2 linked regions of the Daphnia pulex genome follow. The protein of the gene in region 1 purifies or fractionates together with the protein of each later gene. This does not show direct contact. Links are inferred from orthologs where the notes say so. Each region holds a gene or a part of one and is shown in the gene's direction. Other genes may lie near its edges. The genes, in order: PHD finger protein 12-like and GATA zinc finger domain-containing protein 1-like.

Region 1 (4,545 bases):
TAGCCAAATCAGAGATTCTTCAACGCTAGACGATTGTGTGCCGTCGCAGACAACTTGCATGATCGCATCTCGACCTTCCTATTTATAAATAATTCAATATTTTGTATCAAAAATTTTCAAAAACAAAATACAAAAGCAATTGAGCCCAATACCTCAGTGTCAAATGTCGGGTAAATGCATTCCAGAGAACTCAGTAGAGCTCGAGCAGCTGCCAGACGAATTCTTGTAGTTGATTTGCTGTCCTCCATACAAAATAGTATGGAATGGAGGATTGACGTGTAAGAGTTGACCAAAATGAGCACGTGCTAAGACAAATAACATTAAGAGCATTCAAAAATGTGTTATTAACCAGTTAACTCACAATTTCTTGACAAATGAAGGCGATGGCCTCTAAGGCTGCCTCTTTTCGATGTTCATTTGCTGGTTGAACGACCACGTCGCAAAGCTCAGAAAGCAAATCCTCCAGAGAAGTTATCTCAGAAGAAGGCTGTAGTGTTCCCGGGAAGAGACTTTCAGCTACCGCAATGTAAGCCAAACATTGGGCGGCACAACTTGGATGAATGTTTTCTGTTCCCAAGGTCGAAATCAAACGCTCAACCACGGCCATGCGAGTTTCTTCTTCAAGTTTTGACCATCTCTGTAGACACTCTTTCTTCAGGGTCACATCTTTAACAGTCAAACAGTTTTTCAGTTGGAGACCAGCAGCTTGACGAGCAATAGGTGAGTTGTTTGGATCAGCAATTACAACTGACATATTTGAAATAAATTGACCCTATAAGTATGAAAATACAAAGAACAGTAACAGATAATTATGTGGTGTACTAATAAACTGAGATTTGTTTTATTGAAACTAACCATATCATCCTGAGCATACTTTTCCAACGCCAATTGGGTTTCGGCCAATACATTCTTGTCTGAAAATGATACATCTTTATTAATTTAAGATTTAAAATGAAAGTGATATTATAGCTGCAATATGATATGTAGGAGTGTCGTAACATGTTGAGTCAAGAAACTTTGCAAAAAAGCCCCGCAGACAAGTAATATGCAATGTAAGATTGTGATATCAACAATGAAAAGATATTAAGTTGCATTGTTTATTACCTGGTGAAATAGTTTGTTCTAAATACTGGATGAGACACTTCAATGAATTCGCCATTTCTTTACAATTAGAGCCTTGTGGCTGCCGGTGACTGTATAACTGTACGGCACGAGTAGCTTTGAGATGTCAAATCTAAAAATCGACACATAACTCATGACTAAAATCTGAATTCTGAAATGACACAGAATAGGCCTAACGACTGTCAATTATTTTTTAAGTCGTCGCCTTCGGCTGATCATTTGCCCGCAAATTTCGATTTTTAAACGGAACGCCGGTTCGCATGTTGAGCTTCTGTTGGCTGCCGCTAGGTTCTTGGAACTCAGATTGAAAGATGTTGTTTAGCATCGAGTCAAATCGACACTTAAAGTTTTGTTGTTTCTTGATTCTTGCTGTCGTTTTCATCTTTAGAAGATGCTCGCATAGAAACATTAGGATTTAGTGAGATTATAATTACATTTTCTTGTACGCAATGGCCAATTCTCAATATGATCTCGATCTATCGGGTGGATTAATGCCAGTAAGTTCACTCTTTAATCGGCTGTATGCTCATTTATGGATGTCGACTAAGATCGGTGTTTTGTTTATGCAGCAAATTCAAGCTCTACTAGCACCACCTTTGTTGGAAGATATTTCAAAAGAAAAGAGAAAAGACGGATTGGCGTTGCATCCCTACTACAGACGACCAGGACGAGGTCATAATCGCGATAGTTGTGATGCTTGTAAAGAGGGAGGTGAACTCATTTGCTGTGACTCTTGCCCAGCATCTTTTCACCTACAATGCCAGTAAAATAATACCATCAATTCAAATTTATTTCTAATATTTACATTATTCTGTTTTCACTGTTTCAGTGATCCTCCATTAGAGGAGTCGGATTTACCCAAAGGTTTGTGGAACTGTCACAGTTGTCGTATGAAAAAGGTAATTTTAAACTTGTGTAGAGTTAAAAGAAAACAATTGACCAACAAAACATTTGTTTTCAGGCCCAAGATGCTGCAAATCCTCTTACAAATTTCATAGAGGTGGATGACGGAGCAGACTCTGATTCCAGTAAAACTGGAAAAAGACCTTATAACTCAGCAACTCAATCAGTAGGCAGTGGTCAGGGAGCCCCTGAAAGAATATCTGGTCGCCGTCGAACAAACAACTCGGATGATGTTGATGTAGAAACCACTGGAGTTAGTTCAGAAAAGTCCAGTGATAGAGAAGACGTCATTGTTGATAATATGGGCAAAGTCTCATTTTTTGCCCCTCTCATCAGAGTAGCAGCATCTATGAACCCACAGCAATTCGAACTCCCACCAGAACTTGTAGAACCTATTCCTTTTCCAGGTAAGCTAAAACCAATATTAGATAAAATTGATTAACAAGTTAATTAACTTGCCATTTTCTAGGTACCAGTAAATTGTGTATTTCGAAAAAAACCGGATCTGGCCCCAAAAAAAAATCACACGAACTTGATAACGGGCTCGTGCCATTACCGTTACGAGCGTGCTTCTACTGCAGCAAGTATGATTGAATCAGGTTTCTGTTTCAATATAGTTACATCATCAAATTCATCTTTCGAATTCTTAGGAGTTGCCGCAAGGCGCCAATGGTTGCCTGTGACTTTTGCCCCCTGGTTTTCCATCTGGATTGTCTGGATCCTCCCCTTGTTTGCATGCCAGTTGGCAAGTGGATGTGCCCCAATCACCCTCAAAATATTGTAATATTTTGCCTTTTAAAGGAATTTTCCGTTTATCTCACAGAAATGTTGAATTCTTTATCACTAGGAATATAAATTGTTGCCTGATTCACGACTTTCCGAACGAGTGAAGTTTTGGTCGTTCTTACAGAGACCCATTGACCATGAAACTGTAAAAATCAATTTCCTCCGCAAAGTAAACCGAAAAAATCCGCCTTTTCGTCGGAAGGTCGCACTACCTGGTCGTCCTCGTATGAGGGTAAGTGTTAGAGATGCTACTCTTATCTTCGAAAATAACTAACGAAGCATTTTGCAGGTCCCACAAATCATCAAGGACCAGTACAAACATCCACCGTTACTTCCGGCGCGTTTAAATGGAGCTCAACCATTTTACTGGTCGTCCGTTCTCCCAGAAACACGGAAGGTATGTCCATTTTCCTTTCAAAATCTGGACTTCCCCTTTTAATTTGTTAACCATTTCGTCGAATTCCAGAATTTGAAATCATTCGATAAAAATGAATTAATAGACGAGGAAAACAAAGATAGAGAACAATCACGACTTCAGGAGGATGCTCAGCAAATAGCAGCAGACTGCGAAGCAATGTTTTCAAACGAAGGCGAGACTGTCGGAAAATTTGATACTGCGTTACCTGAACGGAGAGATAAAGAGTCTGTGGAAGGATCGAGCTCGTGAGTGGTTCACAAATTAAAAACGCATCAGATTATTCAATATTCAGAAATGTCTTTTATGTTCAGCTCTTCTTGGGATGGTTTGTTTGCTGAAGAGTTTCAAGATATCGAAGCAGATGTCAAAAGTTATTTGGGAACCCTGAGGCGGGGCATGAAAGAGAGTCACTTGAAAGTCTTTATGGAGCAGCTATCGAGTAATTTTCAATACTTTTTCCTCCGCAATAGAACGGGATTATGACTTTTTTAACTTTTTATTTTCTAGATGATTTGCTAAGGGCAATGGATCAAGAAACAGTGAGAGCTCTTGCCATGCAAAGAGTGCAGCAGCTAATCCTGAACCCAGAATCTCGCTCGTTGACTGTGTTCCCTCTTCCTGGAATGATGTCTTCTGGTTGCAGCACTCAGTCTACAGTCATTCCACAACCTTGGCTTCAGGCCAGCAGTGCTTCCGACAGTGGTAACATTATCTGTACGAATTACAGTCTCGAATGGATCAACAACTTTCTATCTTCCCCTCTTATCGATTCAATAGACAGTAGTCAAGCCCAGACGAATGTCTTCCCACGACAGCCTAGAGCATTCCTCTGCCCTCTTAGCTCAGCTTATCCACCAGCACCCATCTACTATCGCCGACTTACTATTGGCACTGGTATTATTTGCCCTTCCATAACTATAGTTGAATTATCGGTTTTATTCTTTAAAACATTTCTGTGCGTTAGGTGCTGACATGGATTTGAACTTGTCTACGTTCGGTGCGTGCAGCTATGTTTCCGGACATCACTCTACTGTGTTTTACGATGAGGTATTTTAATGTCTACTCTAAAGCCAATCAACTTTTATGTAATTGTTCGTTTTTCTTTTAACCCAAAAACAGATGTCGAGACATTTCGAGTTACTAAACTATAGCGAGCACGGAACCGTTGTTGATAACGTCGTGTATTGCTGCGATGTGGACGTGGATGCAACCACTTTCAAGTCTGAAGCGGAAGATGTCAAAGAGAAGAAACCGTCATTCCAGGGGTTAGATGATTTTACGAGACGCAATGGTGACAGAATGACCAGCACCCCTTC
Region 2 (3,458 bases), on another chromosome or scaffold:
AATTGGGCTAACTGAAAGTGGATGTTTAATACTTTTAAATTCACTGAAGTGAAGAGCACCGAATCCTTGCATATTTTATTGAATGAGGTCGAGACGCATGCTAAAGAGCACAAGCTGTGAAGATCCAAAAATGAGAGTATTATGCGTAAAATTTCTTCCTGTTAAAAAAAAAAAAAAAAAAAAAAAAAAAAAAAAAAATACTAAATAAAGCAGTAAAAAGAAACAAGATCAACTTGATGAAATTCGGTCCTCACGGGTAATTTACTGAGATGGCAAATAGTTGAGGATTGCGCTGGGACTTGGTACTTAAAACAGAGCCGTTGTATACTTTCGATTGCATTGAAGCCTGGCACTAAACGATGGAGCCCCAATCCAATAATTTTCGTAGATAATCCTGTGACACAAAGTTTAAGCGATTCTTCAAACGGAGGATAGGTTTCTGTTCCAACCAGAAGAACAGCATCGATCTCTGGATAATAATCGGCCAAACTGCTGTCTATTTCAACTCTAATAATGCTAAAGAAATATAAAATAGGAATTTTGCTGAAAAAAGAAGCTAAACACTCAGTTCTACCTAGTCAGAAACTGTAGATGATGAGGTTCAGCAGAAAATATCTGTGAATGCTTCAGAGACTTTTTCATATGATTTTCATGAAACAATTTCCAATTTCCTTGGCCATCACCAGCCCACAGTCGTCTCACACAACCAGAGTTATATGTTTCATATACATTTACACAGTATGGATAGACAGGTTTTTGAAACAGGATATCTACATTTAAAGTATGTCAAAAAAGTCCCTAATTGTAAAATGAATGAATTACCAACAAAATCCTGTCCTGTTATGAGAACTTCAGTTTTTCCTTTAGAAGGTGAAATTACTAATGTTTCTTTCCACCATGGCCCATATGTTCTCTGAAGAACAAATGTTTTTTTTTTTAAATAGACCTTCCTCTACATAGTCTTCAGAATATGCTTTTTATTTCACACTTGCACTAATAATTTTAATAAAAAAGTACCGGGACGTAGGTTTCAGGAAAATCTCCATATGCCGGATATCGAGAAGGAGGACCGATTAAATTGTTGGCTGTGTAAGACACTCCATTTATACTTCCATACTGTGAAGTGTAGTATGTCACCTTGCTGGCATACTGCTCTATGAAAATGAGGCCTTCACTATTTCCTAATAAAATCATATAAAATTGATTTAAATGTAGGAAAAAAAATGTTAACACATTTCATTCTCACCCAACATGAATCGTTCAAAATGTCTATCACAGATCAAATTTGGGGGATTTACAAAATATGATTCGGGGAGTCCAAAATACAAATATCTAGCAGAAGAATGGTTTTGTTTACAAACGGAAAATTCATTTTGAGCGCCAGCTAGCGTCTAGTTCTCTAGTAGTGATTTACCATCCAATCGATGGTAAATTTAAATTTTACTAAGACTTTGATTCATCACACCCAATTTTTATTTAAAAATTTAATTTTGCATTCAATGTTTAAACTATTTTTATATAAAATTACACAAGTTAGAAATTGCAATGTTGTAGATTGTTGTCCACAACTTAAGTAAAAGTCTTCTGCTTTGTAAATAAAAAGTGAAACAATTTTTGGGAGACTCGTTTTCGGTGCTAGTGCTATTTCAAGTAATAGATTTTGTTATTAACCTTAACCATGCCATTTGGAATAAAACCTGTTTGTTTTAAATGCGATATCAATATATCAGAGATATGGCAAAAAAACAACGAAGGAAATACAGTTTGCAGCGAATGCTTTCAAGGGAAATTGACAACAACCGTGAAAACAGAATCTATTGTTATAGAAAAGGCGCCTTCACCAGAAATAAAATTTCAAGAAGAAGATGCTTATAATGAAACTATTGAAGTGGATGATGTTGTTGTGGATGAACTTGTGGATGATATAAAGCCACGTAATGAATTTGGCCCAGGGACCAGGTCAGGAAACACAACTTCAAACAGTAGAGGTGGACGCACAGGAACAAAAAAGACACGTGGAAGAAGCAAGAAACTAGGAACTGCCAATAAAGCAACAGTTGGCAAAGGACGTGGAAGAAGAGCTGTTTTCAAGAAACAGGTTAAACAAATCCATAAATTTGATAGAAAAATTAAATAGATTTTTCCAATAACTTTTTATAAATTATTCCTTTTTAAATTTTAGCTACCATCTAAAGCCCCCACTGTTGCTTCTACCTCTTTTACTAGTGGGCATTTGTTTCATCATGACATTTATTATCAAGTGGGGGACATAGTTTCAGTCACAGATGAAGATGATGGAGTTTATTATGCACAAATTCGTGGGCTTCTGCAAGACCAATTTTGTGAAAAAAGTGCTGTATTAACTTGGCTCATCCCAACTCAAAGTTCACCACCCCCAGATGTGGGATTTGATCCACAGACATATATTTTAGGTATGTGAATTTTATATTTTTTTTTCTGTACAGCATTAAAACAGTCTTGGTTTAGGTCCTGAAGAAGAATTGCCACGTAAGCTGGATTATCTTGATTTCGTAATGCATGCGCCGAACGAATATTACAAACTGGATGAAAATGTTCGAGTGTCTAGTGAAAAAGAAGCTGGCTATATTTGGACAAGTATGGGTGCCGTACGAAGAACTATTCATTCATGAAAAATTCCACCAGGATCATCCGTTTATAGTAGAATAGAAAGACCAAGGCAGCCGGCTCTTTTGTTCTTTGTGTCTTTTAATGCCATTACAGATTCGTTTGTAAAACAATTCCATCATTTCTGAAGTTTGTAACTAAAAATATTTGTCACATGTTCTGCTACCTCACTGAAATTCGGAGGAAGAGTAAATTAAATTGTTTGATCTGTTTTAAGTGTTCTTTTCTAAATTTTTAAGAGTTTTCACAATTTTAGTAAGATATTTTCGAAAATTACATGTCGGAAATTATAGAAGATTTTTTTACCTGCTTGCACGGCTTTCTTAAAAATAATACTTGACCATTCCTGCATTACGGCTTGCCTTGCGGGTAACAATGTTTTTAGAAATTATTTTGTGCTGAAATTTTGAGCTGAAATATTTTCTAGTCTACCGGTAAAAATGTTTCGATTATAGTGGTAATAAACAGTTCATTTAAAATATAATGATATTTAAAAATAATATCGATAATGTTAATGAGTTTTTCAAACTTGTATAAGTTGTATGGGTTTTTATTCATTCATAATACTAGCGTCATTCGAACTAATAGACAATTATAACTTGAAATCACCAGCGGGAATTTGTTATTTTAATTTGAGTTTTAATTCAAAACCTTAAAAAAGTTTAAAAGAACTATAACAAATTCGAAATCGTATAGTAGGTTCGTCAAATACATCCATTTTGTCCAATGGGTTTCTGATTATCACCCATAGAGGGCCGTGATTCTGTGAAGTGATGAAGTCGTTTCAAAATTTGGCGGTTACATTCCTTAGT

Evidence for each region.
Region 2: the proteins of PHD finger protein 12-like (region 1) and GATA zinc finger domain-containing protein 1-like purify together in Homo sapiens (affinity purification with mass spectrometry; 7 studies listed by BioGRID and IntAct, with this or other methods). This does not show direct contact. The link is inferred for Daphnia pulex from reciprocal best matches to the Homo sapiens genes PHF12 and GATAD1.

Annotation. Positions count from the first base shown.
Region 1 is NC_060017.1:4,332,835-4,337,379, reverse strand, and holds the start of PHD finger protein 12-like, read left to right. Parts: upstream 1-1,422; 5' UTR 1,423-1,571; coding exon 1,572-1,619; intron 1,620-1,691; coding exon 1,692-1,885; intron 1,886-1,951; coding exon 1,952-2,021; intron 2,022-2,083; coding exon 2,084-2,432; intron 2,433-2,494; coding exon 2,495-2,609; intron 2,610-2,675; coding exon 2,676-2,805; intron 2,806-2,872; coding exon 2,873-3,043; intron 3,044-3,100; coding exon 3,101-3,208; intron 3,209-3,277; coding exon 3,278-3,474; intron 3,475-3,540; coding exon 3,541-3,668; intron 3,669-3,736; coding exon 3,737-3,943; intron 3,944-4,006; coding exon 4,007-4,123; intron 4,124-4,193; coding exon 4,194-4,276; intron 4,277-4,348; coding exon 4,349-4,545. Other genes in the region: importin subunit beta-1-like, read right to left, coding at 1-78, 153-305, 362-772, 856-914, 1,105-1,159.
Region 2 is NC_060026.1:11,475,625-11,479,082, forward strand, and holds GATA zinc finger domain-containing protein 1-like, read left to right. Parts: upstream 1-1,561; 5' UTR 1,562-1,678; coding exon 1,679-2,098; intron 2,099-2,182; coding exon 2,183-2,432; intron 2,433-2,487; coding exon 2,488-2,651; 3' UTR 2,652-2,862; downstream 2,863-3,458. Other genes in the region: F-box/LRR-repeat protein 4-like, read right to left, coding at 33-158, 255-516, 575-770, 823-952, 1,018-1,181, 1,247-1,253. UniProt on the Homo sapiens protein: Component of some chromatin complex recruited to chromatin sites methylated 'Lys-4' of histone H3 (H3K4me), with a preference for trimethylated form (H3K4me3).